Lytechinus pictus: one gene and its partners. The protein of the gene in region 1 purifies or fractionates together with the protein of each later gene. This does not show direct contact. Links are inferred from orthologs where the notes say so. Each region holds a gene or a part of one and is shown in the gene's direction. Other genes may lie near its edges. The genes, in order: selenoprotein S-like, derlin-2-like and derlin-1-like.

Region 1 (11,017 bases):
TTCGATCATCTGAGCATTTGTGGCCTTGTTCCAAAAGTTTGTTGGTCTTAAAAGTGAATTGAGTTTGTTAGTTCGAAAATTTAAAAAGAAAGGTCAGTTCTTCCAAAGTTTTGATAGTCCAAACATGAAATAAAGTTTGTTAATACAGAAATAAATAGAGCAGTACAAACCTCACTTCACTTCTTGACTATCAGACTTTGTTTTCATTTTCAGATTAACTAACATGTGAAATATTGAACCTTGTTTCATTTTGGAAATAACAAGCTTATGTGTCCTGAAACAAAACATAGTTAAACCTTGTCCACATAGTAGCTACTTCTGTAATTTCTATCTGCAATCAAATCACATGTTCTTGTTTGTGGTAAAATTCTGAGTTCTTTATCTTATATTAGTTATATTGATCTGTGATGTAATATCTCAATGTCTGTTTGTCAAGATGCCATATTTGTGAAAAGTCTTAACGACTTCCCATTCGATCATGATGAATTCATTAAATTGTATAAATACAAAGCTATATATAATATATATATTTGTGACCTTGGTTAATTGTTTATTTCAATTAAAAATATTTGTAGTGATGGTTGAATAAATGCGGGGATGAATACGAGCCTCCTATGATATTTTGTGGAAGTAAATTCAAGAATTGTTTTTGTTATTTTGTTTGATATTCCTCGCTTAACTTGAATTATTGTTGGAAAGAATGAGTCCTACAATGAGCATTAGTGGAAGTAAACTCTAATTGCGGTTTTTGTTATTTCATTTTTCATTTTCTTCGCACAACATGAGATGGTCTCTTAAAAAGCAATGTCCTTTTAATTATTGCACACCTTGTACTTCTCATATTCAATGTACACTTCATTATTTTAATTTCAGTGTTGGAGACTAGTGTTAAAAGTTGGTATTGATAATGGTATTAGGGAAAAGCAATTACTGTACATAACACCAGACTTGGAATACTTTGGGTGTTTTTATTACCATAACTCAGTGTTTAGCTGTCAATACATGAGTGGTGCGGTTTTCTAAATGCAAACTGGGTGTGAAGGAAATGCAAACACCACACATAACACCAAACTTGGAATAATTTGGGTGTTTATATTACCATTACTCAGTGTTGAGCTGTCAATACATGAGTGGTGCGGTTTTCTAAATGCAAACTGGGTGTGAAGGAAATGCAAACACCACACATAACACCAAACTTGGAATAATTTGGGTGTTTATATTACCATTACTCGGTGTTGAGCTGTTAATACACGAGTGGTGCCATTTTGCTGAACACAAAGTGGGTGTGAAGGAAATGCAAACACCATTCATAACACCAATCTTGGACTGATCACGGTGTTTATATCACTCAGTGTTGAGCTGTTGATTAACATGAATGGTGTCATTTTTTTTGTCAAACACAATTTTGGTTGAGATTTCATGCACCTCCCTTATTTTGTGTTCGTGGCACCAACACCAAACTTAAAATCAGTATTTTCTGGTTTGAACACTCTTCTCCATTGAATGCCTATGTCATAAACCTGTTAACTTGTCTGTGTACATTTTGAACAAACATTATCCATAATCTACGAGCATGCCAGTGCTTGCCAATATAGCAACCATTTTATGCAAATTGGATTCTGACAGAAAATGCTTACATTTATCCACTTTAAACAATGTGACAGTTTTATCCATAAACCATTGGTAAGGTTCACTATTACCTCGTTGGAACAGGATTATATTGAATATCGACCTTATTTTACATGGATAATTGGTGAAGATGGTATATGTTTAAAAACACCCTATACAGGGAGATAGATATTTAAAAAAAAAATAGTCTTGTAAGGATACCTCTATTCAGACAAAGGTGATAATTCCAATGTTTGCAATATAATTCCAGTCGTACAAAACCATCTTATTTTTGTGTGCGAAAGGGCTTACATTATTTTCTTACCTTTTCATCAATTTAAATTGGCAAGCATGTCTAGCAAACAGATTGATTGTAGCAAGTTGCAATCAAACCAACTTGAAACCAGTCACAACTGTGTGTTTAACCTATCAGATGCATGTATTTCTGATCCACAAATGATTTTATGGATTATTGTTAATTAATGCCACTCTTTGGTTCAATATGCACATGTGTTCTTTTCTGCACTACCTGTTGAACTTTGTTTTATCATGTGATAGGTCCTGCCCCCTCCAATAAATATGAATTATTGACTTTGAACTTAATACCAAATATAAACAAATTTGATAATCTCATAGAAAGTTAGAAGTATTTTTTAATTGATTTTAATAGAATTGAAAACTAGCCAAGATATTATGTACATGGTCATATACAGTGGGTACTCAAATTACCAAAGAACAGCATGTGAATTTGAAAAAAAAAAATAGTATAAATAATTGAATGAATAATGCTTTATTTACCTTTGTGTACTGTAAAGATTTACTTAAATGTAGTAATTTCCATCTTTTGCCTTTATTAAGGGTTGAAGATATGCTGTGTACATTGTACTCTTTTCCCCTCTTATACTACATGTAGTTTCATCCCCATTCACCTTAAAAGGCAAACTGAATTCCAATGAGTCCTATCATAGGCCCATGTGCATTACCCTTTTATCATAACATCTGGACATATATTATGAATTATAAGGTTAGGATTGTAATTTTATTGGAAAAGAGATGTGTTTGTGGCCATGCTGTAAACATATTTGTTTCAGTGGTGAATACTGTGTCAGGTTTGTTTTACAGAGTATCAGAAAATTATTTGCCATTGAAATGGGCTTGTAATAAGGGAAAACCGCTCTCTCTTTTTTACCCCCTTTACAGCAAAAATTGTTTTTGCATGTTGCTTTTGAACCATTATATCCCCTCCCACTGCCCTGCCCCACCCTACCCCACCCCCTAATGATAAGAATATATACCAGGATCGTATTCATAACCTATTAAAGCGTAATCATTATGTTGATCTAGAACCAGGAGTTCAATTCATATATCTGTTCTGAATCTAGCAATGAACATCTGTTGAGCATTTCATGAAAGTCAGGCATTTTATCCGACAGTTACCATGGTAACATTGCTCCTCAGCCAATCGAAATCAAGGAAAGTTGTCAGAAGGAAAATGTTGATGAAATGCCGATGTCCTAATTGAAAAATACCTAAATTGATGTTTTTTTTTCAAATAATACTGGAAAGATAAACCTTTGAAATTATTGCTCTCCTTTTCACTGAAACTGGATGCCTTTCTTAAAATGATTCTAAAAAGAAAAAAAAATGGTTTCTGCTTTGGATTGTGTACCATTATTCCTTTGTAAACCATAGGCAATGAACTTGTATTTCTTCATTTTGAAATTGATAATAATTACATAAATGATAATATCATATAATATTTCTTCTTGTCAGGGGTATATCTTTATTTTATCCTATTTATATGGGAAAGTGTGATGGAAATTTTGGTGCCATAACATTGTATAGTAGTGATCTTATTGTCAGGGGAAATTGTAGTTGTTAAAGATGTCTCAGTTTGAAAATGAACTTTTAAAAGGCAATGCTCTATTTATCAATTCCGTATGTGTAGTCCTATGTATGTCATTCATTCATTCAACACTGTCAGGGCTAAGTATCACACAACATAGATTAATCATAATCTTGATTATAGTGATTATTATATGTAATCAATTATGATAATCAATCTTGTGATCAATAGCTATTGTTTGTAGTACAGGCCCTGATCAATATCACTTGTTATTGCACTTGGAAGTCGGTCTTTACACTTCTTCATGTCGGTGCAAGAAGGCCCTTAGCAAAAACATTTTCGCTCACCGTATCGGTGCAGAAATGCCCTTATGCAATGCACTAAAGCATGCTGCTAAGGGTGTTTCTGTGCGCATACGATGCGCGATAGTGTTAATGGCATTCTTGCGCTGACACAACTTCTGAATATGGTAGCATGTAGCGGTTTCATGTTTTCATGGGGAATTCTTTTATGAGAATCACATTGTGATTACTGGTGTATAAAATATATTGAAGAATGAACCCCAAACTCATGAAAAACTTTGTTCCATCACTGTGTGTGTTTGCCCAGTGAATTAGTATTTATGCACTTGTGCTTTAGTAGTCCCTGATTATACGAATGATTTCATCTTTCCTCTTCCTAAAATGTCAATTTCCAGTGATTTATGAAGGTAAATGTATGTTTTTAATTGTGTTTGAGTACTGTGTGAAGTCTTCTATATAAAACTAGATAACTTATCGTATTATGAGACATGTCTGTTCCACAATTGCCGCGTCTGGTCGAAAATGCAAAATTGTTCTTTTTTTTTCAAGATAGCCAAATATTGATAATGCATTATTTATAAGGCGTAAAATGGATATATATTTGTTATTGAATTCTCTAGATCACAAATGCTGAAATAAAAAAAAAATATTTGTATATATAAATATCTATATGAAAATGCATTACTGTGAGTCTTGTATTGTGGTGTATCATGTGTTTTGTTGTATACAGTATATATGGTGTTGCACTGTGCACTTAAAGCAAACCCAAACCCAAGAAGGGAAGAAATCTTATTCGAAAGAGTAAAATGAGAGGAGCAATTTAAAACAAGTTTCATCAAAATCGGTTATGAAATAGGCAAGTTATGGACGTTTAAAAAGTCTTGTTGTACTTCCTATGGGTATCCTCAAACTGGCAAACATGCTTCAAAATTGCTTTTGTGGACAACCCTCCATTTGTTTTGTACACAAATTTTCAGATTTTCCCCCATTATTTTACATATTTCACAACAATTCCTCCTGACCTTGACATATGTGGAGTGAATTATATTTTCCCATGACATATATTATGCTCAGAATAAGGCAATATGCAATTTTTAAGATAATGGGGAAAATCTGAAAAATTGTGTACAAAACAAATGGAGAGTTGTCCACAAAATCAGCCATTTTGAAGCATGTTTGCCAATTTGAGGATCCCCATAGAAAGTAAAACAAGACCTTTCAAACGTCCATAACTTCCTTATTTCACAACCGATTTTGATAAGACTTGTTTGGATTTTTTCCTCTCATTTTACTCTTTCCAATAAGTTTGCTTCTCTTGGGTTTTGGTTTCCTTTAAGGTCAAATCCACCCCCCCCCCCTCCCCAGCAAAAAGCTGATATGAATGAATACAGGAGAGTCGAACATAACACTGAAAAATCCATTTTAATCTGAAGTAGAAAAAGAGCTTAATGAAATTTCATTTGTTTCCTCAAGACGTGTGATCTGTGGGAGATGATGTTACGTACCCACTGTTTAATCTATTTCTTTTCTCCCCTTTTTCCTTATAATTTCCCATTTTCTGTTTGTATTCTTTTTCTTCATTTTTTCTCAGTTTTCTCCCTCAATACCTCTTCAGTTTCAGCGATGTGATTTACTTTATGACTCTCTTGCTCTGTCCGTCTCTCTCTGACAATCCTTTGCACAAGAGAACATACACTTTGTAACTTATCCAAGTGTCTTTGAATGTGTACTTTAGATTGCACATCACATACCTAAATTGTTCTGTCCATTAAACAGGGGGGGGGGCATGTTATTGTCACATTGCACCATTTAACAATCTATTATTCAATGTTTTGGAAAAAAAATGAATGTGAGCACAAGCAATGTGATGGGCAAAAAAGAGAATAAATGGGGATGATAGTGAGTGATTATCTTGAGAAAATAGCTCAGATTAAGCGAGGAAGAGAGAGAGAGAAAGAGAAGAGTGGGGGAGATGAAGAGAGGAGGGGGAGAGAGAGGAGGACAAGGGGGTGGAGGAGGAGAAAAGGAGAAAAAATGACGCTCCAATATGATCAATCAAATTTTGTTAATTTGTAGTATGTGGCTTTTAATTGTCCACTCCATGATTGAAAAATAGGCTGAAGAAATTCGGGGGGGGGGGGTGGGGGGATTCAACCCCCACTATTCCAATAAATGTGTACAAAACATAAAATAAACCCTCCCCCTCCCTTTTGGCTTAACCCATACTTTTAAACCATTCAAAGGCCTCTGTGAATAAATCAAATTTATATGAGCAAGCTCAAAGAGAGTTGAATCCCATCTCTATACAGTCAACCTGCTCTTGCCCCCCCCCCCCCCCCCCCCGTGCAGTCAAGACTACCTGTCTCAAGAACTTCTAGTTTTGTTTCACTTGAATAATTACCCATAAGCATATACATAGAAAACAAAAGACCATTTTCCTTGCTTGCCATACCCCCATGGCTGTAAGCAGAACTTTTCTCCGGGGGGAGGGGACGCATTAACAACTTTGAAGAAAAAAAAAAAATTAATATGCGGGGTAGCAAAGAATTGGGGCACTTTTGCATTTTTAAAGAGAGTTAAAATAATTGAAGGATATTGTCATTGTATTACCCTTTTTGGTGAATTTTGTGGAAATTTTCAGTCAAAATTGTAAGTTTTCAAAATGTCTGGGGTGGGGTAACTGTCCACAGCCCCCTTTGTTGCGACCGACCCCCGCCTCTATATATATAGCCCCCATCATCATGATCATCATGAAATAAAAGCACAAGGGCTGCACAATGACCGAATCCCGGTACCGAGGTTGTGGTTCAGTTTCCACACGTCATGTAAACAACATTCGAGATTGTTGATTGCATGATCAGCTAGCTCACATATTATATGCGTGCATGCTAGCAGTGTTGCTGTGAGTCGAGTGAGTCGAGTCGAGTCTGCCATGCAAAGGACCTGAGGCTGAGACTGAGCCAACATGTCGGAGATTTTTGAAGATCGTGAGCTGACAGAAGATGGGAACACGACACCAGAGAGTGTCTCATATGGACTGTCAACAGGTAATATGTAGGAATAGGAATATTTAGCCATGTTTAGCCTGTTTTGACTAATTTTCATAAGTTTAACACGAACATGACGAACACAATCACATTCACACTCACACTCACAGAACAAACAGCAGAACACCATGAACACTGTGCACTGAACACGAACAATGAATCATGACGTTCATGAATTTCCATGTTGCCTTTTTTGGGGGGGTCATGACATGTTGAGAAATCAAAATTTCCAGTATGATTTCCAGACCCATGCCCCCTGCATGCCCATTTCCATTGTATTTGACCTGAATTTGTTAGAAAGATGAAGTTAGTTTCAAAATGTACATGTAGCATTGTATTTGTAGCCTTGTAGGCTAAAAATACAGGAGCAAGAGCGAGCGTGAGATCATACCTTGTTCATTGAATGAGTGGCGTAAGACTGAGTCTGAGAATTGAGGAGAAAGGTGAAGGTAAATCCGAGTTCGGCAAAGGCATGGCCATGGGGGGGGGGGGAGAAGATCTTTTGTCTTGTGTAAGTTGTGTTGTAAATAATGGCATTATCGTGGTTTAAGTCACCACTCCTTTCACTGCCGTTTGTTTCGTCAGCGGCGGTGACTTCTGTCGAAGCTTTCTTCACTGACACACACATGAGAAGAGAGGTGACTTATTTCAGGATAAGGCCTAACCCAGGGAGCTCAAAAAAACGAAAAGTTCTCTCCTTCTACCCCAGTTACGTTGGCTCCACTGTCCAATGTCAGAAATTGTTGAGGAAATCCCCAGAAACAACGGTTATCCCTGTCTATAGACATACATGCAGGCCATATTCATGCAATCGCTGCCGCAATATACTTCTTTTAATGAGCATGTTTTTTGCTCAGCTGTTTCTTAAAATAAATGCAGCTAGATTGGGAAAGATCGAGAAAGAAAGATGATAGGAGGAAGATAAGGTGGAGAAGAAGAGAAGTAGGAAGAGGATCAGGAGGATCTTGAATCAGGAAGGAATAATGAAAAGTATAGTAGATCTAGATCTACATGTACTAACTAAGAGAAGGACTCTGGATTTGTCAAGGCATATTATGGGGACAAAGAAAAAAGAAGAGTAGAGGCAGGATTATATTTTGTTTTGGGGGACACAACAATAGATGTCCCCCCCAAAAAAAAAAGATGATCCTCTTTGCTGACACCCATGACTAGATCTAGAGGGTCAACAGATTGAAGGAGCAAGAAGAAGAGGAGAGGCAGCTGAGGAAGAGAAAGAAGAAAATATAACTTTAGGGAAACGGGCAGCGTAGCTCAGTCGGTTAGAACGCATGTTTCGGATAACATCGTAGATCTCAACGTGAGGGGTTCGAGTCCCGCTCATGCCGAAACGCGTCTAACAAAAAATCTGAAGCTACATGTATAGCATTAGGTGTAAGCGTGCCTCACCACTGTATTCAGTGCAGGTGTGAATGCAGTTGGAAAACACTCCATCCATCAGATAGGACGCAAATGTTGGTCCCGTGTATAGGAGAGTCACAACCTATGCACGTTAAAACCAATACACTATTCATCAAAGAGTAGGGTGTTCACCCTGCCGGTCCTGGTAAAATTCAGGTCAAGTCAATCTTGACGTTCATATGCCAAGGCTCCACATTAACTTTTTTTGGTGGTGGCCCGTTCGGGCCACCAAAACCATCAAATAATTTTTTTTGGTGGCCCGATATTAAAGTTTGGTGGCCCGAAAAATATAAAGAAAAACATTAAAAATGAATAAAACAAACTTCTGAAATATTAATTCTGCAGCCACTACCACTGACTAAGTTCCTTTCACTTTATACATCTTGTATGTAAACCTTGTTTGCGGTTATTTTACTTTGCTAATTGATAATTGTTTCTATCGTTGTAAAAATGAAATGATTGAAAGTGAATAAATGAATTGTATTGTTCGCAGGTTGTGTGGACTTTTTTAAAAATCTCTGTATAGAGATAATGGTAAAGTAAATAAATAGTGCATAGCAAACTCAGTTAGATGTACAAAACAATGGTTTTTCCTTCCTTCCTCTTTGAATCCTAAAACCTAGATTATGCATGCCCCAAATCCAGTTTATTTCTGTTTTCTCTTTTGCAGCATATAGAAGGAGAAAATCACAGAAAAATATGCTGCAAAATTAGAACAATGCATAAAAGGGAGAAACAAACGAAAATAATTTTCAAAAAGTATATAACAAAAAGAAAACAAAAATAATAAAAGGAATTAGTGAAATAAAACAAAAGAAAGAAAATGAAGAAAGAAAAAAACAAAGAACAGGGAAAAAAAGAAAAAAAGAAAAGAAAAAAAATTAGAGAGAAAAAAGAAAAGAAAATTAAAGAAAAATTAATAAAACAAAGTTAATATAAAAATGGGGAAAAGGGGAAAATTAAGAAGCCATTACATATATTTTTAACAGCTGTGGCAACAGTCTATTCTGACTGGAATATAATTAAAAGCCAAGCATATAATTTTCACTTACCTCTTGGGAATGGCACATTTCTATTTTTATATCCTTTAGTTTGTATTATTTTATTTTCAGTAGAAACATATTTTTTAATCAGGCATATTCAATGGGAAGGGGTATAAATGGTTTAACCACTGTCAAAAAAAATGAAAGAAAAAAAAAGAAAACGGCAAAAACTATATTGGAAAAAAAGTGTGAGAAAAGTCCTTCCCTATATTTGCCAAAATGTTGGGAAAAAAATCACATTTCATATCAATGAAATGCCTTCCCAAAGTATTTACTTTCTCAAGAGTGGTTTAAGAAGTCATTTATAAACAAGAAAGAAAGAAACTGTCTGTTTGTTTAAGGCTAGAAAATACACAGCTTCGAAAGAAACCAAGTATCAACATACATACAAATGCACACGTGGGACTGTGATGTACTTGCCTATGTGTTTTTATGTGTATTAATTCATGTGGAAATCGGTCTTTTTGAGTCAAAAGAGAGGTCATAATTCCTCTTCTTAATACTTGCAAATAATCAGGGTACACCATATTTTCGTAATATAGACTGTAGAATTTCATTTCATTGGTGTAAAAGGTGACTTTGACTTAGATTTTCAAAGTTCTGTGGAAGATTTCTCAGCAGCAACATTTTTTATCGCAGCTCCCTGAGTCTGAATAGGCTGAGCTAGATCTAGAGCACAGCTGTATGCAGTGGCTTCATGCAAAGCTCACGCCAGCCGGCTGGCGCGGCTGGCTGGATAATAGCTACTGTATGCTATAGCTGTAGGCCTAATATGCAAACTGTGTGTGTGTGTATTTGTGTGTAGATCAACAAAAAAGGCGCATGACGAACTGGCTTGCAATTTGAGCTGTAGAAAGTTGATAAATGCGTGCAAAATTGGGAGAAAAATTGTGCTACTTTGAAAATTATTGGTTGCCCGATTCGGGCCACCAAAACTTAACATTTTATCAATAATGGTTGCCCGAGGTGAATTTTTGGTGGCCCCGGGCCACCGGGCCACCGCTAATGTCGAGCCTTGCATATGCCATAGTGGGCATTAACGGAAAGACAAGAGAAGAAGGATAAAAAGGAAAAAAAGGATACTCAAACTGAGAGGAGAGGTGTATTGGAACAAATTAGAGCAAAAAGATGAAGAAGATTCCATTCTTGAATTTTTTTTGGAAAAAGCTCTGTACAAGCTAAACTGGGATGGGAAAATTATGGGAGAAAGATTTACAAAGAGTTGATTATTGCATAGAATTGCCCTACTTCTCCCCCCCCCAAAAAAAAAAAAATTGATAGATTATCCCTTATTTTTTTATTTTTTTGCACTGGGTTATCTTGAAATTCATAATACTAACAATAATTGTACTTGCGTATATAGTGCTTAATACTTTATCAGAAGTCTGTAAAGTGTTCTGCAGTAATGCGGGTTGTTGCGGACTCATGTGTAATAATAATAATAATGATTTATATACCTCAAATTTTCAAAATTGCCTCTAAGCCACGTACGTGCATAGCGCCAACTTAATGTGTTCCGCCATCTTGCTTGTTGGTTGCCGATAAAATGCGCATTTTCAGATTTTTTTACACTCAGTCATTAGCCGTGACTGAAACATTGACCAATCAAAAACTAAGATTCTACAAGAAATATGAATATTCATATACGAAAGTATAAACATAGATAATTCAGTTTTATGTGAAATTTAAACCCAATACTTCAAAATAGGGTAAGTTTTATGTCTCTAAAATGACCCTTAAAACCAGAATTTT
Region 2 (10,870 bases), on another chromosome or scaffold:
ACAAAATATTTATTTTATTGATATTCAAAATGGCCGCCATAACCCCTGTATACTTTATTATGTAGAATATGAATGGGGAAAATATTTTTTCAAACAAGAGCACTATTATTGCATGTGATTGTGACCTGCGAGTGGACTACTGTCTGAAAACATGACTATTAACAAAACTATGTCATTTGTATACTATCTAATGTGATAAATGCTGTATTATGATATTCAAAATGGCTGTCATAGACCCCTTATACTGTGTACAATATATAAAAGGGGACAAATAATTTTCACAACCTTTGAATTTGTTTGACTTTAAAATGCCAATAACTGCGAAATATTGGTGTAACACTGTCTGACAACAAGGATTTTTAACGAAACATATCATTTCCCTTGCAATTTCGGTAATAATGCTGCATGTTGACATTCAAAATGGCTGCCATAGGCCCTATCTCTATTATGAACAAAGCGAATGAAGAAACTAATTTTCACAAGAGTAAAAACAATAAATGAATGTAATTGTAATCTATACGAGTGAAATATTGTCTAAACACATGATTTCTGGCGAAACATATCATTTCATTTTTCATGCATGAGATAAATGCTGTATTGTAAAATTCAAAATGGCCCCTATGGGCCCTTACAGTATTATCTACAATGTAAATGGGGACAAATACTTTTGAAAGAATTAGGATTTGCCTGACTATGAAATCCATATAATTCTGTTGTATAAGGAAAATATTGTTTGAAAACGTGATTTTTTTATGAAATATAACATTTCCTCTCCCATAGGTGATAAATACTGTATTTTGACTTTCAAAACGGCCGCACAAGCCCTTATAAATTCTGTAACATGCGTATAGGGAAACTAATCATCACCAGAATGAGAACCAAAAGCGCACGTAACTATGTGATGTATAGGTAAAATTTGGTCTTGAACATGATTTCTGACTAAATACATCACATAATGGTTGAGAAGGTAATAAAGGACTTACTTTGAAATTCAAAATTGCTGCCATAGCCCAAAGTAGTATGTACATTGTAACTGGGGACAGATAATTTTGACAAAATTTTTACTATGAAAATGGCTGAATTTTGATGTAAGTGTTAAGTATTGTCTAAACCCAATGATTTCTAACGAAATATATCATAGCTTGTGTCATAAAGGTGATGAATGCAGCCTTTTAAAATGAAAAATGGCCGCCATAGTCCCTTATCTTAATATGTAAAATTTGAATGGGGAAAGATAATTTCCACAAAGAAACATATTGCAGCCATTTTGAAATTTAAATATAGCATTTATCACCTAAATAACATAAGAAATTATCTATTTGGTTACAAAATCATATTTTCAGACGATATTTCACTCATACATGCAACACCATTTAGTCAAGCAAAGCCAAATTCTGTTAAAATTATATGTTTCCATTCACAAAGTACATAATAGGCCTACCGTTAGGGCCTGTAGCGGCCATTTTGACTTTCAAAATACATTATTTATCACCTACCTGGCAGAATGAATGATATATCTTGTTAGGAATTATGTTTTCAGACAATATTTTATTCTTAAATCACAATTGTATGCATGTTATGGTGCTGAATCATGTGAAAATTGGTTTCCCAGATCGATTGTACATAATACAGTCAATGTTTTTGGCGGCCATTTTGAAAGTCAAAATACAATATTTAACACAAATATGAAACCCGAATAATATATTTCGTTGCAAATTATATTTGAAGACAGTATTCCACTAATTTACCACAAAAAAATACGTTTTAGTGCTCACCTTGTGATTGCTTTTGTCCTCTCTCACATCGTAGATCATAATTTTAGGGCCTTTGGCGGTCATATTAAATATCAAAATACAGGGTTTATCACATACATGGCATGTATGTAATTAATAAATTTCGTTAACAATTATGTTTTTAGTCAGTATTCCACTCGTTTATCTCAACAAAATGCATTTTAGTGCTCACTCTTGTGATTTTTTGTGTGTCACCATTCACATTGTACATAATAGTGTTAGGGCTTTTGAAGGCCATTTTGAATATCAAAATACAGGATTTATCACATAACTGACATAACAAATGATATATATCGTTAGCAATCATGTTTACAGACATTGCTTCACTCATAGATCATAATTACTTGCATTTCTGTGCTCAATTTTGTAAAAATTAATTTTCCCCATTCATATTGTACAGGGGTCTATGATGGCGGCCATTTTGATATCAAGAAAATAAATATTTTGACAAAATTCATTTTTTCAGATATTATTTCACTCCGGCAGCATAATTGCATGTACTTTAAAGCCAATGTGTGGACAATTTTATGATTTTCATGGGTAATTTGAATATTTTGGCGGCCATATTGGATTTTGCCAATTTGCAGAAAATGCTCAAGGTTACACGAGTGGCATCATTCAGATTCGGAATCAGCACCCTCGAATTGACAAGAAACCATAAAAAAACATTGTATATATAAAAAAAACAAGGTTCGACCCCTTCTATCCTGGACTATATCGGTGGCCTATATGAATAAACTTTGATTTCTTCACAGGAGTATGTTAAAGAGGAGGGTGCTTTTTCAGTGTTTAATTTGGTTGTTTATTTTTTTGTATATTTTTATTTATTTATTTATTTCATGCGTAGGCTCATAAATCGTAAGAAAAGTAGGACCTTAATGGATCATTAAACTGTACTGAGGCCTACATAAGTCTGATTTTCGTTCGAATTATTGGCCCACTAGGTCTTTAAATAAAACATTAGAAGTGAATCTGTCCACTCTGAGGATCTCCAATATTCTTAAGATTTCCTTCGATCAATAGGAATCTGGTGTGACTTTGGGCCATGGACCCCGTTTTTTTTCACAATCCCAAATTGTGGAACAGGGTTGAAAAAAAGACAAGAAAAAGGGGGTCAGAAATCCGGGGGTGAAATATGCTTTTTTTAATGATATTATTTTCTAAATATTATACCAAAATCTATCGCAAAATTATATGTATGTATTAAGAAGGTACCAACTCTTTTTTTAATTGCCCATCTGCCATATCTGCCCTCTTAATTAAAACTTCTGGCTCATTATAAGCTATATTGCCCATTAAAGGAATACTGAGGGGTCACTCGAGGTCTTCATAGTCCAGGATAGGCCCCATAGACAAGGGGTCGAACCTTGTTTTTTTAGATATACAATGTTTTTTTATGGTTTCTTGTCAATTCGAGGGTGCTGATTCCGAATCTGAATGATGCCACTCTTGTAACCTTGAGCATTTTCCGCAAATTGGCAAAATCCAATATGGCCGCCAAAATATGCAAATTACCCATGAAAATCATAAAATTGCCAACACATTAGCTATAAAATGCATGTAGTTGTTGTGCAGAAGTGAAATACCAATTGGAAAAGCGATATTTGACAAAATATTTATTTTATTGATATTCAAAATGGCCGCCATAACCCCTGTATACTTTATTATGTAGAATATGAATGGGCAAAATATTTTTTCAAACAAGAGCACTATTATTGCATGTGATTGTGACCTGCGAGTGGACTACTGTCTGAAAACATGACTATTAACAAAACTATGTCATTTGTATACTATCTAATGTGATAAATGCTGTATTATGATATTCAAAATGGCTGTCATAGACCCCTTATACTGTGTACAATATATAAAAGGGGACATATAATTTTCACAACCTTTGAATTTGTTTGACTTTAAAATGCCAATAACTGCGAAATATTGGTGTAACACCGTCTGACAACAAGGATTTCTAACGAAACATATCATTTCCCTTGCAATTTCGGTAATTATGCTGCATGTTGACATTCAAAATGGCTGCCATAGGCCCTATCTGTATTATGAACAAAGCGAATGAAGAAACTAATTTTCACAAGAGTAAAAACAATAAAATGAATGCAATTGTAATCTATACGAGTGAAATATTGTCTAAACACATGATTTCTGGCGAAACATATCATTTCATTTTTCATGCATGAGATGAATGCTGTATTGTAAAATTCAAAATGGCCCCTATGGGCCCTTACAGTATTATCTACAATGTAAATGGGGACAAATACTTTTGAAAGAATTAGGATTTGCCTGACTATGAAATCCATATAATTATGTTGTATAAGGAAAATATTGTTTGAAAACGTGATTTTTTTAATGAAATATAACATTTCCTCTCCCATAGGTGATAAATACTGTATTTTGACTTTCAAAACGGCCGCACAAGCCCCTACAAATTCTGTAACATGCGTATAGGGAAACTAATCATCACCAGAATGAGAACCAAAAACGCACGTAACTATGTGATGTATCGGTAAAATTTGGTCTTGAACATGATTTCTGACTAAATACATCACATAATGGTTGAGAAGGTAATAAAGGCCTTACTTTGAAATTCAAAATTGCTGCCATAGCCCAAAGTAGTATGTACATTGTAACTGGGGACAGATAATTTTGACAAAATTTTTACTATGAAAATGGCTTAATTTTGATGTAAGTGTTAAAGAGAAATTCCAGTATTTGCAGTAAACACTGATTTCATGAGAAAGTCTGTAAAAACAAGGCTTAATTGTCAGTATATCATCGAGGATCTAGATCTGGTACAGTTACATAAACTGAACTTTTTGAAATCTTGAAATCTACGCTGAAAAATGTTCACACTGAAGATCACCAACACAGATAGGCACACGTGGGACAGTGTATTATTATTGCTAAAATAAAGACCCGACGGAAGTGACCGAATCCGCGCTTATTTTGCTTATTTCTCAGCAATCACACAATTTCTTCCAGAATCCTTTGGCACATATTTTTTATTCATACAAACAGACACTTAGGTGGTCATTATATTAGATTCTGTAAAAAGTCATTTTTAGATCGTTACCAAAACTGGAATTTATCTTTAAGTATTGTCTAAACCCAATGATTTCTAACGAAATATATCATAGCTTGTGTCATAAAGGTGATGAATGCAGCCTTTTAAAAATGAAAAATGGCCGCCGTAGTCCCTTATCTTAATATGTAAAATTTGATTGGGGAAAGATAATTTCCACAAAGAAACATATTGCAGCCATTTTGACATTTAAATATAGCATTTATCACCTAAATAACATAAGAAATGATCTATTTGGTTACAAAATCATATTTTCAGACGATATTTCACTCATACATGCAACACCATTTAGTCAAGCAAAGCCAAATTCTGTTAAAATTATATGTTCCCATTCACAAAGTACATAATAGGCCTACTGTTAGGGCCTGTAGCGGCCATTTTGACTTTCAAAATACATTATTTATCACCTACCTGGCAGAATGAATGATATATCTTGTTAGGAATTATGTTTTCAGACAATATTTTACTCTTAAATCACAATTATATGCATGTTATGGTGCTGACTCATGTGAAAATTGGTTTCCCAGATCGATTGTACATAATACAGTCAATGTCTTTTAGCGGCCATTTTGAAAGTCAAAATACAATATTTAACACAAATATGAAACCCGAATAATATATTTCGTTGCAAATTATATTTGAAGACAGTATTCCACTAATTTACCACAAAAAATACGTTTTAGTGCTCACCTTGTGATTGTTTTTGTCCTCTCTCACATCGTAGATCATAATTTTAGGGCCTTTGGCGGTCATATTAAATATCAGAATACAGGGTTTATCACATACATGGCATGTTAAATGATAAATTTCGTTAACAAAAATGTTTTTAGTCAGTATTCCACTCGTTTATCTCAACAAAATGCATTTTAGTGCTCACTCTTGTGATTTTTTTGTGTCACCATTGTACATAATAGTGTTAGGGCTTTTGAAGGCCATTTTGAATATCAAAATACAGGATTTATCACATAACTGACATAACAAATGATATATATCGTTAGCAATCATGTTTACAGACATTGCTTCACTCATAGATCATAATTACTTGCATTTCAGTGCTCAATTTTGTAAAAATTAATTTTCCTCATTCATATTGTACAGGGGTCTATGATGGCGGCCATTTTGATATCAAGAAAATAAATATTTTGACACAAATCATTTTTTCAGATATTATTTCACTCCGGCAGCACAATTGCATGTACTTTAAAGCCAATGTGTGGACAATTTTATAATTTTCATGGGTAATTTGAATATTTTGGCGGCCATATTGGATTTTGCCAATTTGCAGAAAATGCTCAAGGTTACACGAGTGGCATCATTCAGATTCGGAATCAGCACCCTCGAATTGACAAGAAACCATAAAAAAACATTGTATATATAAAAAAACAAGGTTCGACCCCTTCTATCCTGGACTATCACGGAATTTCCGTGGAGGTCTTCCGTATCTGAACGTGCTCTGTCATTTATTGTACCTGCAAGTATTCACTAAAGGGAAAAAAATGTTCCGTGCTTGTATTCTTCAAAAAAATATATAAGAAACTTTTGTCAGCCTTTTTTTTTTTAATTTGTATTTATTTATTTTTTATTCGATTTCTTAAATTTTGTAACTATGTACCGTAAGTGAAGTATCATTAATCATTAAATGTGCTCAGACGGACACTTATCACTTTCGAGCAAGGTGATTAATTGAATTGCTTACTTCACCGATTTGGATCAGCTGCGTAAAGCTGACGTGTGTGTACGAGACTTAAGGCCTAGCCTACTTCTGTGCTGTGTTAACAAGCTAGCTACGCCGACTGAATTTTATTTAGGCCTAGTTTAGAGTTTAAACAAAACTCCAAATTCAAGCCAGTGCCAGTAGTAGTCCAGTTTAAAATTGTAAGTTGATCTAACGTTATTAATGTAGAGCTCTGTTTCGTCTTTCAACATTAACTATGAATATGACTGCGATTAACAACATAGGCTAATTGTTTTGCTTTTTGTTTCAGTTTTTCACCATGGTCCAAGACTCCAGTCCATGTTCACCGTATCACTATCAGTTTCAGAGTCGATTCTCCACTCAGTTGATTCATGAACAGTTGAATGAAGTTCAATCAACTTCCATACTTCATCAGTTAGTTAGGCAACCATGACAAGACAGTCACTGTGTGCCTTAGACAGCTGGCAGCCGTCCGTTTCGAGGAGTTTTTAAACTTTTTTTTTTTTTTAGAGTGAAGCCAACGGAGTTCAGCTGAACAACCAACATAACAGAGACCGAAGCTTTTGGTCTATGTGTGCCTGTGACTGAGTTGAGTTGAGACTGAGCTTAGCCTTAGACGTAGCTAGACTAGACCTGAGCCGAGTATTATGAAAGAGAGACACGAATCAAATAATGAGTCTAACTTTGCTTCAATTACTTTTTAGTAATTGGGATGGTCTGGGCTGAGAATATCTAACGTTGGATCCAGATCTAGATATAATCTGGACTCTATGTCATGATGTGGCTGACCATGATTTGGCACATTTTGAAAAAAAAGTTGGTTTTCAATCTAAAAATTACAGTTCACACAAAATTAATCAAAATCATAAATACCAGATGGAAGGCAAGATCCCAAAGGCAAAGTCAAATTCGCTTGATGGAATTATAAAGTAGGTCAAGGTTTGCACTCGTATCGCGATCTCAAAACTCCATGGCGATCGACTAGTGCGCACTTGGCTGAAAAAGTGTCATAAAAAGTGTGACCTTAATTTGCACACGATCGTTTTGCAAAGCTTTAAAAAAGTAATCAAGCAGACAAAGGTAAGATAATTATATCAGATGGAGGTTAAAATGCCATAAATTTGGTTGGTATCACATTTTACTTATTTGGAGACCTCTCCTTGCAAACTGACGATTTCTTGATGCTTGCCAAAAAGTTTAGATTTTCTCGGAGCGTACGCTAAAAGTAACAAAATTCGCCAATGTTTTGCCAATGTCTTTACAATTTGAGACCTTCAAGAATATTATCATACTGAGTAATTTTGGGTCGCTTTTTCTGTTGGTGATATCACTTTTTCAAGATGTTAATTAGATATTCGACTGCACAAAATCAGGTAAACTGCGAATTAAGTACACACCACCATAAATAAATAGAGTAAAATTCACAGAGCAAAATGCTGAAAATTTCATCAAAATCAGATAACAAATTATAAAGACTTTAAAGTTATTGAATTTTTAAGTAAACCATTAATTTGTGAAAATAGTTATATGCACATCATCATGAATATTCATTAGGTGGGCTGATGATGTCACATCCCCACTTTCCCTTTTCCTTATGTCATTACATGAAATCATAATTGTTTCATTTTTTCATACGTGTGAATAATGTGTCTCCTTTATAATGAAATAGTTGCAGCAATGAATATCTAATGCACTAAATCAGTTGTCCAATTTTTTTAAGTTCTTGGTAAATTTGTTTTTAATAAACCTAATTTCATATAATAAAATACAAAAGAACAAGTGGGGATATGACATCATCAATTTGCTCATTGAATATTCATGATGACATGCCGAGAACTGTTTCACCAGAATAATGTAAATCTTTAAAATGCCATAACTTTGGTATTCCTTGTCCGGTTTTGGTCAAATTTTCAGTGTTTTGTTTGTCTCATTTTTCTCTATCTGTTTAAATCATATAATTTTCAGCCTGGAGTATCCCTTTAAGTCTGGTGAGTGGTGTTGCCATGCCTGTTGAGTGTTAGTGCACAGACACAGTGATGTTCGTGTAGGGTAGGCTCCACTTCACTACCGCTACACTAGGCTACACCTACCCGAACATCAAGGTACAAAACTCCGAGTGACAAAGGTGTGATTTAATGTGTATAAAACGTGAAACTCGTGCAACAACACAACCTTTAAAAACAATAAAAACTAATATTCCTACATTTCACAAAGTTTCACTTTTCCACGCTTCTATCAGTCTCAAAATCGTTGATTTAGAGCCAGTAACAGTTTCCTCACACGTATTAATTCACTGCCGATTTTAAAACATCGCAGTTGCGCATGCGGGGAAATCGCAGCTCAATTCAAGAAAATTCATGATGGGACTATATAGTTCGGGATCGTTTCGCATAACTTGCATCAGATCTCGATAGTTCAGATTTTGATAGTTTAGATTCTCCTATAAGAAAGATGTGTAAGATTTTTTTTGTTTTTGGGGGCTAATTATGATCACCCTCTGTATTTATGAACTTCCATATGAGTTATAAAAGAAAGTTTTGATCCAGATTTAAAATAGAGCCAATATAAATTTTTGGATAATGTCATATGTCAAATGGAATCGCCCTTATTCTTGGAAGACAAAATCTTCATCATGCAAAATTTGTGTCATCCACTTCTCCTTAATCAAATTTTCATGATAATAAGGAGACATTTAATTCTGCTTTTGAAATGTGAGAGATGGATCCAAAAGATTAAAAACACAAAATGCGTCCAATAAACAGTGATGGACGAAAATATGTTCTTGTGACGTGACATAATGGAATGAAATATTCGAGGCCTCGACAGTAAGACTATCTTGTGTAGATTTAGGCCCTGTTAGAAGAGATAACAATCAGTGTTTGTAATTTTTTTGTAAATAACCCATGTTTTAATTGTCTCTAATCATTTAATCTCCTTTCTTTCAGGGACCATAGATATTTACTTTTCTTACCGTCATTATTTTTCTTCACAATGTTAGAGAGTTATTTTCAAGCAGAGGTACCTGTATCATTTCCTTAACTTTGAATTAGTGAAATCTGTATCTAAATTCTTCTGTTTGTTTTCAGGTAAAGGTTAAGAAAAACACATCGCAATGCAAACCGTTCAACAGGAGTACATGCAGACTCCTCCTATTACAAGACTATATTGTACATCATGTGTACTCACAACATTAGCTGTGGTACGTATTCATATACATAACTTTGTTTAGAAATTCTGATTCATTATTGATTTTCCCTTTATTCTTATTTGGGGGGGGGGGGGAGGAGCAGGCCAAAAAAAATATATAATTTTTTTAGTTTTTTGGGGCTACTTTTCACAACCTACTATCTAAATCAGCAACATTTAAGCTTTAACATTACAGTGAATAGGGATTTTTCAGGGCTCTTTTCTATTTTTCAGGGCTCTCACTTGAGCATTTTCATTGGCAAAATCACCCCAAGCCCTTATGTATTTTTTTTTTTTTTGGGGGGGTGGGGGGAGGAGGGGAGATGAGTACCAGTTTCAATTTTAAATTGAATGTATTCTTTGGTATCCTATTTCATCATATTACATTGCACTTGTCAAACAAAAATTAGAATCCCTCATTTTCTGCAATATACTTAAAACTGAAAATTTTTGGAATAAAGGACAAACATGAAATTTCATACCAGACACCATTTTTCAGGCAAACATAAAACTGGATCACACATTTCTAGGGGAAAAAAGTCAAAGCAAAATCAAATTATTTTTTGTTTTGATTTATTTTATTTGTCACTAGTGGCAAAACTGAAAAATCTGTCTATCAAACCTATTTGCAGTGTTTAGCATGTGCTTGCCTAACCCAGGGAGCTCCCGCCCGCTGCGCGGGCTGGAGCCCAGGGGCTTACCGTGTATTTGACCATACTCACGGGACTAGGGTGATTTATGGTCTAAATATTTCTCCAAATGAATTGTGAAAACAGAAAGTATACAATTACCACGATTATATGGATGAAGGTCTAACGAGTGGCAGTTTCCTGACATCTGGGCACAGACTGGAACCTCAAAAAACGAAAAGTTCTCTCCTTCTACCCCAGTCTCGATCGGCCATTTTGTTACGATTTTTAACCATAGTGGTTCAGGGAATTGATATTTTATTTACTACAATTAACTACTATTAATCTGTATTCTTTGTGTTCTTGCTTTGGCAGCAACTGGATATTTTATCACCATTTCAGTTATACTTCAACCCTGATCTCATTTTTAACCATTTTGAGGTAAGAAAGATATATTTTATTCTTGTCAAAG
Region 3 (11,313 bases), on another chromosome or scaffold:
TTAATACTTTCTCATTTATTGACTGCAATAATTTATAACTAATATTATTAGAATATTGACCGTTGTCTCATTACCAGTATGCAATCAAATCATTCAGCAAAGCTACAGTGGTACTATGAAATTATTTGTAAAATCATGTTTCTGTAGTCTGCACATGTAAATGATTTCCTCAGAACCCAATAATAATTATCCGATTAGAAGTTATACAAAGATTAAATTCCTACCTGTGTCATAACATTTCAGTGAGCAGTCTGAGAGTGCAACTAAATACTCTGTTTTACGTCTTAGCGTGAAGGCTATAGCAGTACATGAAACTCCTAACTTTTGTACCAGTTGGAATCTGTGGGAACAGTTTCGACAGGAAATAAAATCATGATTTGTTTCAGTGACTCAAATTGAGGTGACCCTGCAGCTCTGCCCAAGAGTTGATTGCAACTCTTTCCACAACATAAACATTGCCCTAACCATAACTTTAATTTTGCTGTCCAATGGAAATTTCATGGAATTCTTGATTTTGATTGGTTGTTGAGCATTGTTACCATAATAATTACAATTGAATGGCAAGGTTACAATAAATCTTTTATGCAATGGTACCCTGTTTGGGATTCAGTCTAGACATGAGTGAAAGAAACTCATTCTAAAGAGCTGGCCTAGCACTTTCAAATTCACTCAGAATATTTTTTAAATTACCGTACATTATATCATATATTTTTCATCACATCAGCTGAAAGGCAAAAAAGTAGTGTTGGTTGATATTGATTTCTATGTTAGTTGATTGTCACTAGCAAACTTTCGGTGATAACACACATTATATCGCCGAATCTGAAAATTCATTATCTACATGTGCGTTCATTATGAGATGTAAAAATCCTAATAGGACAGGAAAGGGAGAAATGAAAATAGGGCTTTCATTGAAGCTTGATGATGATAATGATGATGCACAGCATTTGTATAGCGCCATATATCTGTCAAAGACATTCAAAGGCGCATTTTTGTAGGAGCCAGCGAATCTGGGTCGCCTAGAAGGGCGCGCACACAGAACTGTGACCCGCAGGACTCTCCTCCCGCTTGTCCATGATAAACTAACATTTGGGTACCAACTTATGAGGTTCTGAGTTGTTTCAAAACAATACAGACTACAGAGCAGTATTTATTGTCAATAAGCATGATAAGTTGCCAGGGATTAAGCATTAATTTCATAGTCAACAGAATTTGGGTCACATCGTGTTTAATACTGCGCTATATCAACATAATCACAAAACTATTATCAAATATTCAATATCTTTACAATATCGTAGGATTTTGATAATATCAAAATATCACCATCACCCAGCACAACAAAGTATTCATTAATGGATGAAATATGGTAAAAGACCAACTTATAGAGCTATAATTTGCTTATCGACATGGATGATGTGAAAATGTTCTCTGATGTCAGAGATTTCTGCTGGGTCTACACGGTGTCCCCCTTAGTTGATTTCTAATCTGTATAACTTCCTTTTCTCCCTTTCATCTAATGAAGATGTGAACTTGGCCCTGTGAGTATTCGTCAATTGACAACTTAAATGACAGTATTAAAACTTAAAAAAAGGATAATCAATCTCAAATAGTCAAAATAAAAACACAATGAATATGATGGTGCTTGTATAATGCATATCCCTGCCCATAGGCGTCCCTATGCGGTGAGGAAAACAGACAAGGAATGAAGAGTGGACTAAAGCTGTTATGTACAATGTAGACTGTCTCAATAAAAAGAAAAAACGCTTACAGTAATCACCTGATATCATGAGTGAACAACTTGTTTTACGTATACTCACTACTTAGACCAGATTGCATACTGATGTATGGAAGCTCTCTTTCCTAAAGCTGACATAGAGGGCGTCTTTGACTCCCAATCCTCAAACCCAGTAAGGAGGGGAGATGAGGGTTTGGTACCGGATTGAATAGAGACTGGGAGTCAGGTGACCCTATGTGCCAGCTTTGCGAAATGGGAAAGAAAGCTTCCATACATCAACATCCAATCTGGACTAATGTATACTATAAATATCTGACCCCTCTACTTGAAATGTTAACATTTAAACAGAAATTTATTAAATCTGACAATAGCATGTCACATAAGACTATTCATTTAAAGGACAATTCCACCCCAACAAAAAATGATTTGGATTAAAAAAAATCCAACAAACACAACACTGAAAATTTCATCAAAATCGGATGTAAAATAAGAAAGTTATGACATTTTAAAGTTATGCTTAATTTCACAAAAGTTATATGCACATCCTGGCCGGTATGCAAACGAGGAGACTATGACGTCATCCACTCACTATTTCGTTGTATTTTATTATATGAAATATTCTAATTTTCTCCTCATTGTCAAGGGATACAACGATTAATTCCTCCCTGAACATGTGGAATAACATTGTTTAATAATATATGGTTCAGTCAAGTTGGTCCATATTGTCAAATCTAAAAAAAAATGAAATATTGTATAATTCAAACAATAAAAAACAAAAGAAATAGTGAGTGATGGACATCATCGACTGACTCACCTAGTTGTGCATATCACTCTTTTGTGAAAAATAAGCGAAACTTTAAAATTTCATAACTTTCTTATTTTACATCCGATTTTCGATGAAATTTTCAGCACTATGCAAGTTTGATTTTTCTCTATTTTTTCAAGTCAGCATTTTCTTGGGGTGGACTTGACCTTTAATTACCTGTTTCTATGGAGATCAAAGACATATATATTTCCTTGATGATCTCCAGCTATGAACCTATCTCCACTGGCATCAAACCCAGCCTGCAAGAAACGGATGGCATGACCTTGAAACTTGAGTGCTGCAGAAGATTCCTTGCCAATCTGAACCATCAACCTAACAAATAAACACAATCAAGACATTCTTATTTCAAATTCGGGCCTTTCAGCAAACAGTGCATACCCCCGCTACATGTACATGTAGATCTACTAAAATGAATGTCTACATGTGAGACAAGAATAGGCTATACCAATTTTTGCCAAGCAAAAAAAATAAAATAATACTTCCTTAAAAAAATATAGGTATAGTGACTGTACGGTATAACAATAAATAAGCTAAGAATAAGTTATCAAATCATTGATATTAAACTTAATTATGTTTAGGTGTTACTGTTTTCAACTAAAAAAAAATTGATCAACATTAAGATGGATTTGTTGGGCATCAAAGATATAGCAAGAGTTCAAAACCTGCCTGGTAAATTTTGGTTAAAGGCTGATATAATTTTTTTTTCACGTCAAGAAAAGGACCACAAAATCATAAATAACTGAAACATGAATGATTCAATAACTTAATCTTGGCTTATCCATTGGTATAAAATGTATAAATTGTATTTATTAAGTGAGAATGAACTAATAAGTCATATTATAATTTAGACCAAAAGCTTAGGTCTCTGTTATGTTGGTTGTTCCGCTGAACTCCGTTGGCTCCACTCACCAAATACAGAGACCGAAGTTCTAGCTCCATCTATACAGGGACTCAATGGCCATATGTTTATGTATTAAGTTTGGATAAAACAGGGAAGTGAAGTTGCGCGACAGCCGAAATAAGTCACTGTTTTTTCTCCTTTTAAGTTTATTTTTCCAAAATAAAGATTAATATTCCGTTTTGGTGCATTTCAGGCCAAAACGGAATATTAATCTTTATTTTGGAAAAATAAACTTTATAAATAATCTTTATTTTGGTACAGTTCTTTTTATATATTTTTATGAAATAAAGACAAAAATCGATGAGCCCCGTCGGTGGATTTTGCATTGTTAACCCCCTAATGGTGGCTGCACGATAGCCACTCACACGTATTGCGAGGTTAGTATTACTATACTATTACCTCGCACCATGTACCGCATTTGGCAGTGGATTTCTAACTAGTGGGCCGCGCGTGCTGCGACCCCACTTCTGGTGTCCACAACACACGACATCTATGGCTTGATTTTTCTGTGTGCGGCGGCATGTAATGAACCCTTGAGTGCACGATAGCGGTGTACGAGGAGAAATTAAAAAAAATATTAAAATGTTAAAAAACTCCTCGAAAGAGACGGCTGCCAGCTGTCTAATTATAATTTTGCTTGGTCCAGCCAGAACTCGGCATCTAGTCTTACTTGAACTTGAAGATATTAATGTTCTAGTTTGGCATCAACTGAAAACAATCTTTCAAAGTCAAGAGAATTTTTCTTCATATTCTTGATAGACTAGACTACATCACCCACGGGTACATTACCGCCGCCGTGCACAGGATAACCACTGGCACGGCACTTGCAATAAGTTTATTCCTCTTTTGTAAAAATTAGAAAAATATCTACATTTTAAATCAAGTAAGCTTTGGATATGAAACTTTCAGTACCAAACGATATGAAGCCAATTTCATTTCCTCTCTGTCTTTCTGGTACTTTACATGTATATCAATGATTTTCTTGATGTCGAAGCAGGCATGGAGCTAATTTGCTGGGGCGGTATTCTGAAAACGTTCTTATCTTAATTTTGTTCTTATCTACGTCACGTTCTCAAATTGGTATTCTGAAAACGTTCTTATCTTTTTCTTATCTTTTGTTCTTATCTTATCTTATCTTGCTTTCCATCCTATGCTGAGCGCGTAAATTTAGTACACGCGCATAATACAAAAGCGCGCTAAAAAGATAAGAACAAAATAAAGATAAGTGGTATTCTGAAAACGTTCTTATCTTTTATCTTTCTTATCTTTTACGATATCTATGATAATATTTAAGATAGCTAGAGGGTTATCACATCTCACGATGTTCGCGTTCTTTCTTGCTAAAAAAAGATGACCACTGGTAATAACATGTATTCTTTCCATCATTTCTTTCATCCACCCTTTATTTTGTTTTTCACCTTTTTTTCTATCCTTTTGTCTTTCTTTATCTATTTTCATTTTTTCTCCCTTTCTATCTGTCTATCTTCCTTTCTTTCATTCTTCATTTATATCTTTTGCTTTATTCTTTTGAATTTTTTAATCTCTTCCTTATGTTTATTTTACTTTGCTTAATTTATTATTCATCTTTCTTCCTTTTTTATTTTCCCTTTTCGTTATTTGTCTTTCTTTCTTTGAATTAACCTTTCTTTCGATTTCTTTCTTTAGTCTTTATTTTTGCTTTTATTTCTCTTTCATTGTTTCATTTTCCTTTTTCTCTCTTTCTTCACCTTTTACATTTTTGTATTCCTTCTTTTTCTCTTTCTTTTTTTCTTTCACTCGTTTTTTCTGTTTTTTTTTTCAGTTCTTTATTCCTTCATTTTATCATTTTAATCTCTTTTTGTCCTTTTTTTTTCTTTAAGTTTCTTTCTTTCCTTTTCTTCATTTAAGTTCTTTTTGCTTGCTTTCTTTCGTTTATTCTTTCATTTTTTTCTACTTTGTTCTGACCCTTTTCTGTCTCCTTTCTTATCTACTTACTTTCTTTCTTCCTGTTTTATTCTTTATTCGTACCTGCTTTATTTACTTTTTTTTCTTTACTTACTTTCTTTCTTCCATCCTTCCTCCCTCCCTTTCTTTCTTTCTTTCTTTCTTTCTTTTTCTTTCTTTCTTTCTTTCTTTCTTTCTTTCTTTCTTTCTTTCTTTCTTTCTTTCTTTCTTTCTTTCTTTCTTTCTTTCTTTCTTTCTTTCTTTCTTTCTTTCTTTCTTTCTTTCTTTCTTTCTTTCTTTCTTTCTTTCTTTCTTTCTTTCTTTCTTTCTTTCTTTCTTTCTTTCTTTCTTTCTTTCTTTCTTTCTTTCTTTCTTTCTTTCTTTCTTTCTATCGTTATTGTGCACGTGTCTCGAAATAATAATCAGTCATTGCGTATAAAATGCCTATTTCGCGCAATGCGCCAGAAACAGTGTACGCGCAGTGCCCATGTTATTCTCTTGACATAAGGAACGCTTCTATTGGTTAAACTGACAATATAAAGCGCATTTTGATTGGTAATATCCTAAAAATGGGTGTGTTGAAGATAAGAAGGAGGCAGTCCTTACAGAGATAAGAACGCGTTAAGAAGATTTTCAGAATACCGATTTGCAATGATTTTAACGTCTTCTTATCTCAATGAGATAAGATAAAAGATAAGAACAAAGATAAGAACGTTTTCAGAATACCACCCCTGGTTTTCTCTATACGCACAGAGAGGGCGCGCGATATTATTTAATAAACTTGCTTGTTTACGTCGTTTACGTCAGATCAGCTGTACTGCTGGTTGCGTTCTTGGCGCTCCGCAATTTTTTTCGCTGTTCAGCGTTATTTTATGATGTAGCGCCATCAGCGATTATACGTGAGATGCAACCTGTTGATTTTTTGGTACAATTTCCTATTACGCGCCGACGACTTGAATCTAGACTGTTCGATAGGAAAAATTCGCGTTTCGATGGTTGTTTGTGTAATTTCCACCGCAGTATTAAGGATCGGACGGAGTGTCTTGGCATAGATTTGGAGGTAAGCGTTTAAAATCCCTTTTTATAAATACGTTCGAGCACCATTTTAAAATTAAATTAAATGATAAGATTTAGATGAATAAATTTAGTATATTGTGAAGATTTTGGCGTGTTTCATTCTCTCACATTCGTGTGATGAATGAAAACGTCAAAATTCATAATGAAATGACATGCGTTGTGCGAGGTTAGTAATATTAGTAATACTAGTACAACTAACCTCGTCCTCGCATGCTTGTGTGAGTGAGACTACATGTACCAGTAGTTTCTAGTTTCCAAAATTATAATTTCAACAAAATATATCTTAAACTCTGTCTAATTCCTGGCTGTGTGTTTGAGACTGTCTGTGACTGTGTCTGTCATATTAATAATCACCGCACCGCCCCTTTCCCCACCACGACACCGGGTCCAGAATCTTGAGCGCAAGCGCCGCCGAAGCTTCGGGGGCGTGGGTGGAGCTCCTTGCTGAGCTGTCCGTGAGACTTGTTTGAGTCGAGTCGCTAGTCGAGTGGAGTAGAATCTTATCGCGATCGCGTTCAACTACCATCAGTTTGCGCAAAAATCTTACCCATTGTCACTTGATGGATTGGGTTTTCGATGCCATATTTTCCCTGAGCCTCTTCTATCTAGATCGAGATGTTGCATATTGTCTAGAATGTCTCCTTTGTTTTAAATATTGTTCCAACGAAGTTGATGCTAGTCTAGTCTACTACATTTGAAGTTAGCGCGTTCGCTGATCCTCGGTATATCATAATTGATAACTCCAGCATATATATAAAACGTAACATCTGCATCGATTGATAATTTTAGAGGAGCAGCGAATCAATATTAAGTACACGTCGAATTGCTTGGGAAATACAATCTTGACTGGCATCGATTTGGAATAAATGACAGACATTTCTCTGGCACTTTGCAGTAGGATTTTCAAGACTGATAGTGATACTTCATTTTTAGATCGCCAGAGTACTCTCCAATAATGTCTCAAAGTGATATAGGGGACTGGTATCGCGGAATTCCGCAAATAACTCGTTATTGGTTCACTGGTTCTATTGTAGTCCCACTCATAGCCCGATTTGGGCTGGTTAGCATGAAATTATTAATCCTGAGCTTTGAACTGGTTTTCTACAGATTTCAAGTAAGATGGTGTTAATTTTCTGTGGACACGTCCCCCAGTATTTTAGTTGTGTTTGTGTGTGTGCTGGGCCGGGGGTGTACAAATGGGTTTTGAGGTAACAACATTTAATTAAAACAGTTAAAAAGTATGAATCCCTGCACTGTCGCTGTCGCATCGACAATGCATGTGTGCACAAATTTCAATGAAAGGGTCTAATGATTCCATAAGATTTTAATTTGATAATTTTCCTTATATTCTTTTGAGTAAGTGTGCCAAAAAGTTCACAAAAAAGATTGAGACAATTAGAGAAATATCATTTTCTTGAAGTGCGCACCCAGTTAACTTTAGCTTTGCAAATTCACGGATTGATGAGAAAGGCTGCATTTTTTTTTTATGAGGCCAGACCCTACATGTATGTGTGAATTTCTGAAATTCATTTATTTTCCCACCGTTTTGACTCAGATTTTCCCACCATTTTGACTCGGATTTCAATGATATTTGTCGAGGTATTGCAGGTGAATGTTTATTCTGAAATATTATGAGTGGGTGATTACCACCGATAACCTTTTTTTCCCAAGAAGAGTGACTCATTAATATCTCTTTATTTCTTTCATGTTTCTGGTATAGATATGGAGGCCAATAACAGCAGTTTTCTTCTTTCCAATCACTCCAATGACTGGATTTCACTACCTAATTCAGCTTTACTTTTTATACAGCTACTCAACAAGATTAGAATCAGGTTTGTCAAATAACGCCAGAATAAGATTGTTGTTGCACTTTTGATCAGTTTCCAAGGACCAAGCATTTCTTCATTATTAAATATCTTGGCATATAAATGCTTGAAAATGTTAGACATGGTTTGAATGTTTCCTTAATATAGTCAAGTATAAAGCAGAAGCTAAATGATAAAATATGAAGATGTTAAAAACAACAAATGTATGATGTGTGGAAAAATACAGATATAACCATTTCGTGCATAATTTACGAATCTGCATTGTAAATGATTTGAAATTTGTCATCCTTTCAAATTCATTTTTTTTATCCAGGATGTAAACAGGGCTCAAATTGATCCAAGGCAATGGCCTGGGATCGATGCCCTTATGATATTGGCCTAAATACCCTAACATGTATAATATTTTCCGATAATTTGTACTGACTACTGTACTAATGTATTTGTAAAATATTCCCTTAAAAAAATAGGAAGTGGCCTTGCCATATTATTTATAATATCATAATTTCAGGCCTGTTTCTTATTTTAACCTTCAGGCCTACATTGAACATTTTATTTGTTCTAGACATTCACATGTTGACCTATTAAAGCCTTCTCAATCTTTTCTCTTTTTTTCAATTCAGGCATTTTTGATGGCCGACCAGCAGACTATGTTTTCATGTTAATATTCAACTGGATTTGCCTTGTTGTATCCTTTTCTATGCTACCGACAATGGCATGATACTCTCTATTTTTCGCAAAATGTATTAGAAATAGAATTAATATTGTATTCTTGCATTTTACAATTCAATATGAAAATTCTTTGTAGTGTGGTTTATGTAGGTATCTGGAATTTTAAGCAATAGTTTTTAGAAAGATTATTCGGTGGTAAAATTTTAAAGATTTCTTAGACACTAAGGCCCGAATTTACAAGGTGGTTTTGAAAACCATCCGTTGAACCCATGGTTTTTGTAGATTTCCTGTATAAATTAGGCTTATTTACCTCATATATTAACAAGATGTCCAATGCTGATGTGCACTTTTGTCACAGTGCAACAATTCAACGCCTTTTGCCCTGGTTAAGTACGCCAATTTATTCATGATTCCACTGTTATGAAGAGTGGACTCATCGATTCAAAACATTGGACTCATGAATAAAATAGCGTACTTAACCATGACAACAGGCGTCAATTTAGCTTACTGTGAGTGTGGCAGTGGTGCCAAAAAGTTTGTAAACCCCACCAGAAAATGAACATGTTCAAATTCTGCCATGTTTTAGATATTAAATTTTGAAGTCAGATGATAAGATATTACATTCAATAAAGTTAGTTTCTCTGGGCAGGCCAACCATTGTAGTGTTGTTGTCAACATTCAGCATGAAGGAGTGCATTTTGTGTTGGGGTTCACTAACTTTCTCGCACCACTGTAGACTTGTATTGAGCATTCTTTACTTTATAATTGACCCACATTCGGCATTTCTTCACAAAAGTTCACATTTAATTTTATGTGAAAGATGAAAGTGAATTCACTCGCAGTACACGGAATGAAAAGGGGAAAAGACTTTAAATACTATAGTGATCTTGTTGTTAATTATTCTTTCTTAACCATCATTTATTTGACTAGATCATTGGGTTTATAGCACCTTTATTGGTAAGTCAATATTTTCTCTTTGTATGTTTTATCATTTACATGGAACATGATATATTTTGTTTTATAAATGAATATCATTTCAGAATCCATTGTCTTTGAAAAAAATATAAATTTGTTAAAAAGCCTATGTTGATTTCTTTAATCTTCATAATTTTCTTTGATTTTTATCCAATAGTGATATTTACAAATTTTCAGAATGTTCTCAGATTCTCAATCAAATCCTTAACATATCATTTCCATTGAATATACTCAAATGTTCTCCCAAAATCCATTGGAAATTGCATTGTATTTCATTCTATACAAGAAATAAAAATTCAAGTAGTAAGCTTTTAAATGGTGAACTGAAAATATTACCATTGACTGCTGTTACTATTTTTACACTGAGCAAACCCTTGTTTGAAGTGAGAGTGTGTGACAATTTTGTTTGTGATCAGCCTTACAGGTACGGTAGGGATCTATTTCTGCTAATTTCATGCTTCTTTCTCATACTTTTAGATGCTAATGGAGCCGATGATTCTTAGCGTCCTCTATGTGTGGTGTCAGCTCAACCGTGATTCGATAGTTTCATTCTGGTTTGGTACTAGATTCAAGGCTATGTATCTTCCCTGGGTTCTTGTTGCTTTCAATTGGATCCTCAGAGGAGGGTAAGATGATTTAATTTGATTTATTGTTTCACATTCCACAAAAACATACATCTTGAGCAAATAAGAACATAATGACAATAATCACATTCACTGTATTACAAAGTAAAATAATGAGGAACCTATCAAAAAGCATATATGATACTAATGCACCTTACTAAAAGTCGAAGCCTTTCCACACAGTAATTTTGCAAGCATATTGTCATTACAAATCCTTGCACTTATCATGAACAACATGATTGTAAATGGGGAGACACCTTTCTGAATAATTCCTTGAATTTCAAACTGAATGTGCAATAATCCTCATTATTATCAATCAAATTTTCAGAGATGTTTTGTACATGTCTTGTGTCTCCATATCAATTAAATAGGCTATCATTGTTAATGTCTGATTATTTTATATTATATTTTCAAGTTTTGCTATGTATTTCCATCCCAGCTTTATCAAATATTTTTTTTCTTCAAATATGACTGTAAGAAATTTTTGTCCTTCCTACAGTGGACTAGCTGAGCTGATTGGTATTGTGGTTGGTCATCTTTACTTCTTTCTCATGTTCAAGTATCCTCAAGACTTTGGTGGAACCGCTTTTCTCTCTACTCCTCAAATCTTGTAAGTAATGAAACCTCTCATTTGTTACCCACACTTGCAGAGATGAGTTTTGTGTGCTTCTTGAATTGCATATTCTCTTATTAAAATTAAAACTGTCTAGAGATATTGTTAGGTGGTGGTGGTTTTTTGTGGAGGGAGAAATTAAGGA

What was found.
Region 2: the proteins of selenoprotein S-like (region 1) and derlin-2-like purify together in Homo sapiens (affinity purification with western blotting; 3 studies listed by BioGRID and IntAct, with this or other methods). This does not show direct contact. The link is inferred for Lytechinus pictus from reciprocal best matches to the Homo sapiens genes SELENOS and DERL2.
Region 3: the proteins of selenoprotein S-like (region 1) and derlin-1-like purify together in Homo sapiens (affinity purification with western blotting; 6 studies listed by BioGRID and IntAct, with this or other methods). This does not show direct contact. The link is inferred for Lytechinus pictus from reciprocal best matches to the Homo sapiens genes SELENOS and DERL1.

What each region holds. Positions count from the first base shown.
Region 1 is NC_087252.1:1,385,539-1,396,555, reverse strand, and holds the start of selenoprotein S-like, read left to right. Parts: upstream 1-6,570; 5' UTR 6,571-6,721; coding exon 6,722-6,803; intron 6,804-11,017. UniProt on the Homo sapiens protein: Involved in the degradation process of misfolded endoplasmic reticulum (ER) luminal proteins. Participates in the transfer of misfolded proteins from the ER to the cytosol, where they are destroyed by the proteasome in a ubiquitin-dependent manner.
Region 2 is NC_087246.1:9,526,238-9,537,107, reverse strand, and holds the start of derlin-2-like, read left to right. Parts: upstream 1-6,342; 5' UTR 6,343-6,762; intron 6,763-8,548; exon of another isoform or gene 8,549-8,685; intron 8,686-9,669; 5' UTR 9,670-9,695; coding exon 9,696-9,782; intron 9,783-10,773; coding exon 10,774-10,839; intron 10,840-10,870.
Region 3 is NC_087246.1:25,969,039-25,980,351, forward strand, and holds the start of derlin-1-like, read left to right. Parts: upstream 1-6,915; 5' UTR 6,916-7,009; coding exon of another isoform or gene 7,010-7,086; 5' UTR 7,087-7,417; coding exon 7,418-7,576; intron 7,577-8,182; coding exon 8,183-8,294; intron 8,295-8,908; coding exon 8,909-8,973; intron 8,974-9,887; coding exon 9,888-9,914; intron 9,915-10,409; coding exon 10,410-10,558; intron 10,559-11,054; coding exon 11,055-11,165; intron 11,166-11,313. Other genes in the region: TBC1 domain family member 31-like, read right to left, coding at 225-340, 2,718-2,873, 7,010-7,086. UniProt on the Homo sapiens protein: Functional component of endoplasmic reticulum-associated degradation (ERAD) for misfolded lumenal proteins. Forms homotetramers which encircle a large channel traversing the endoplasmic reticulum (ER) membrane.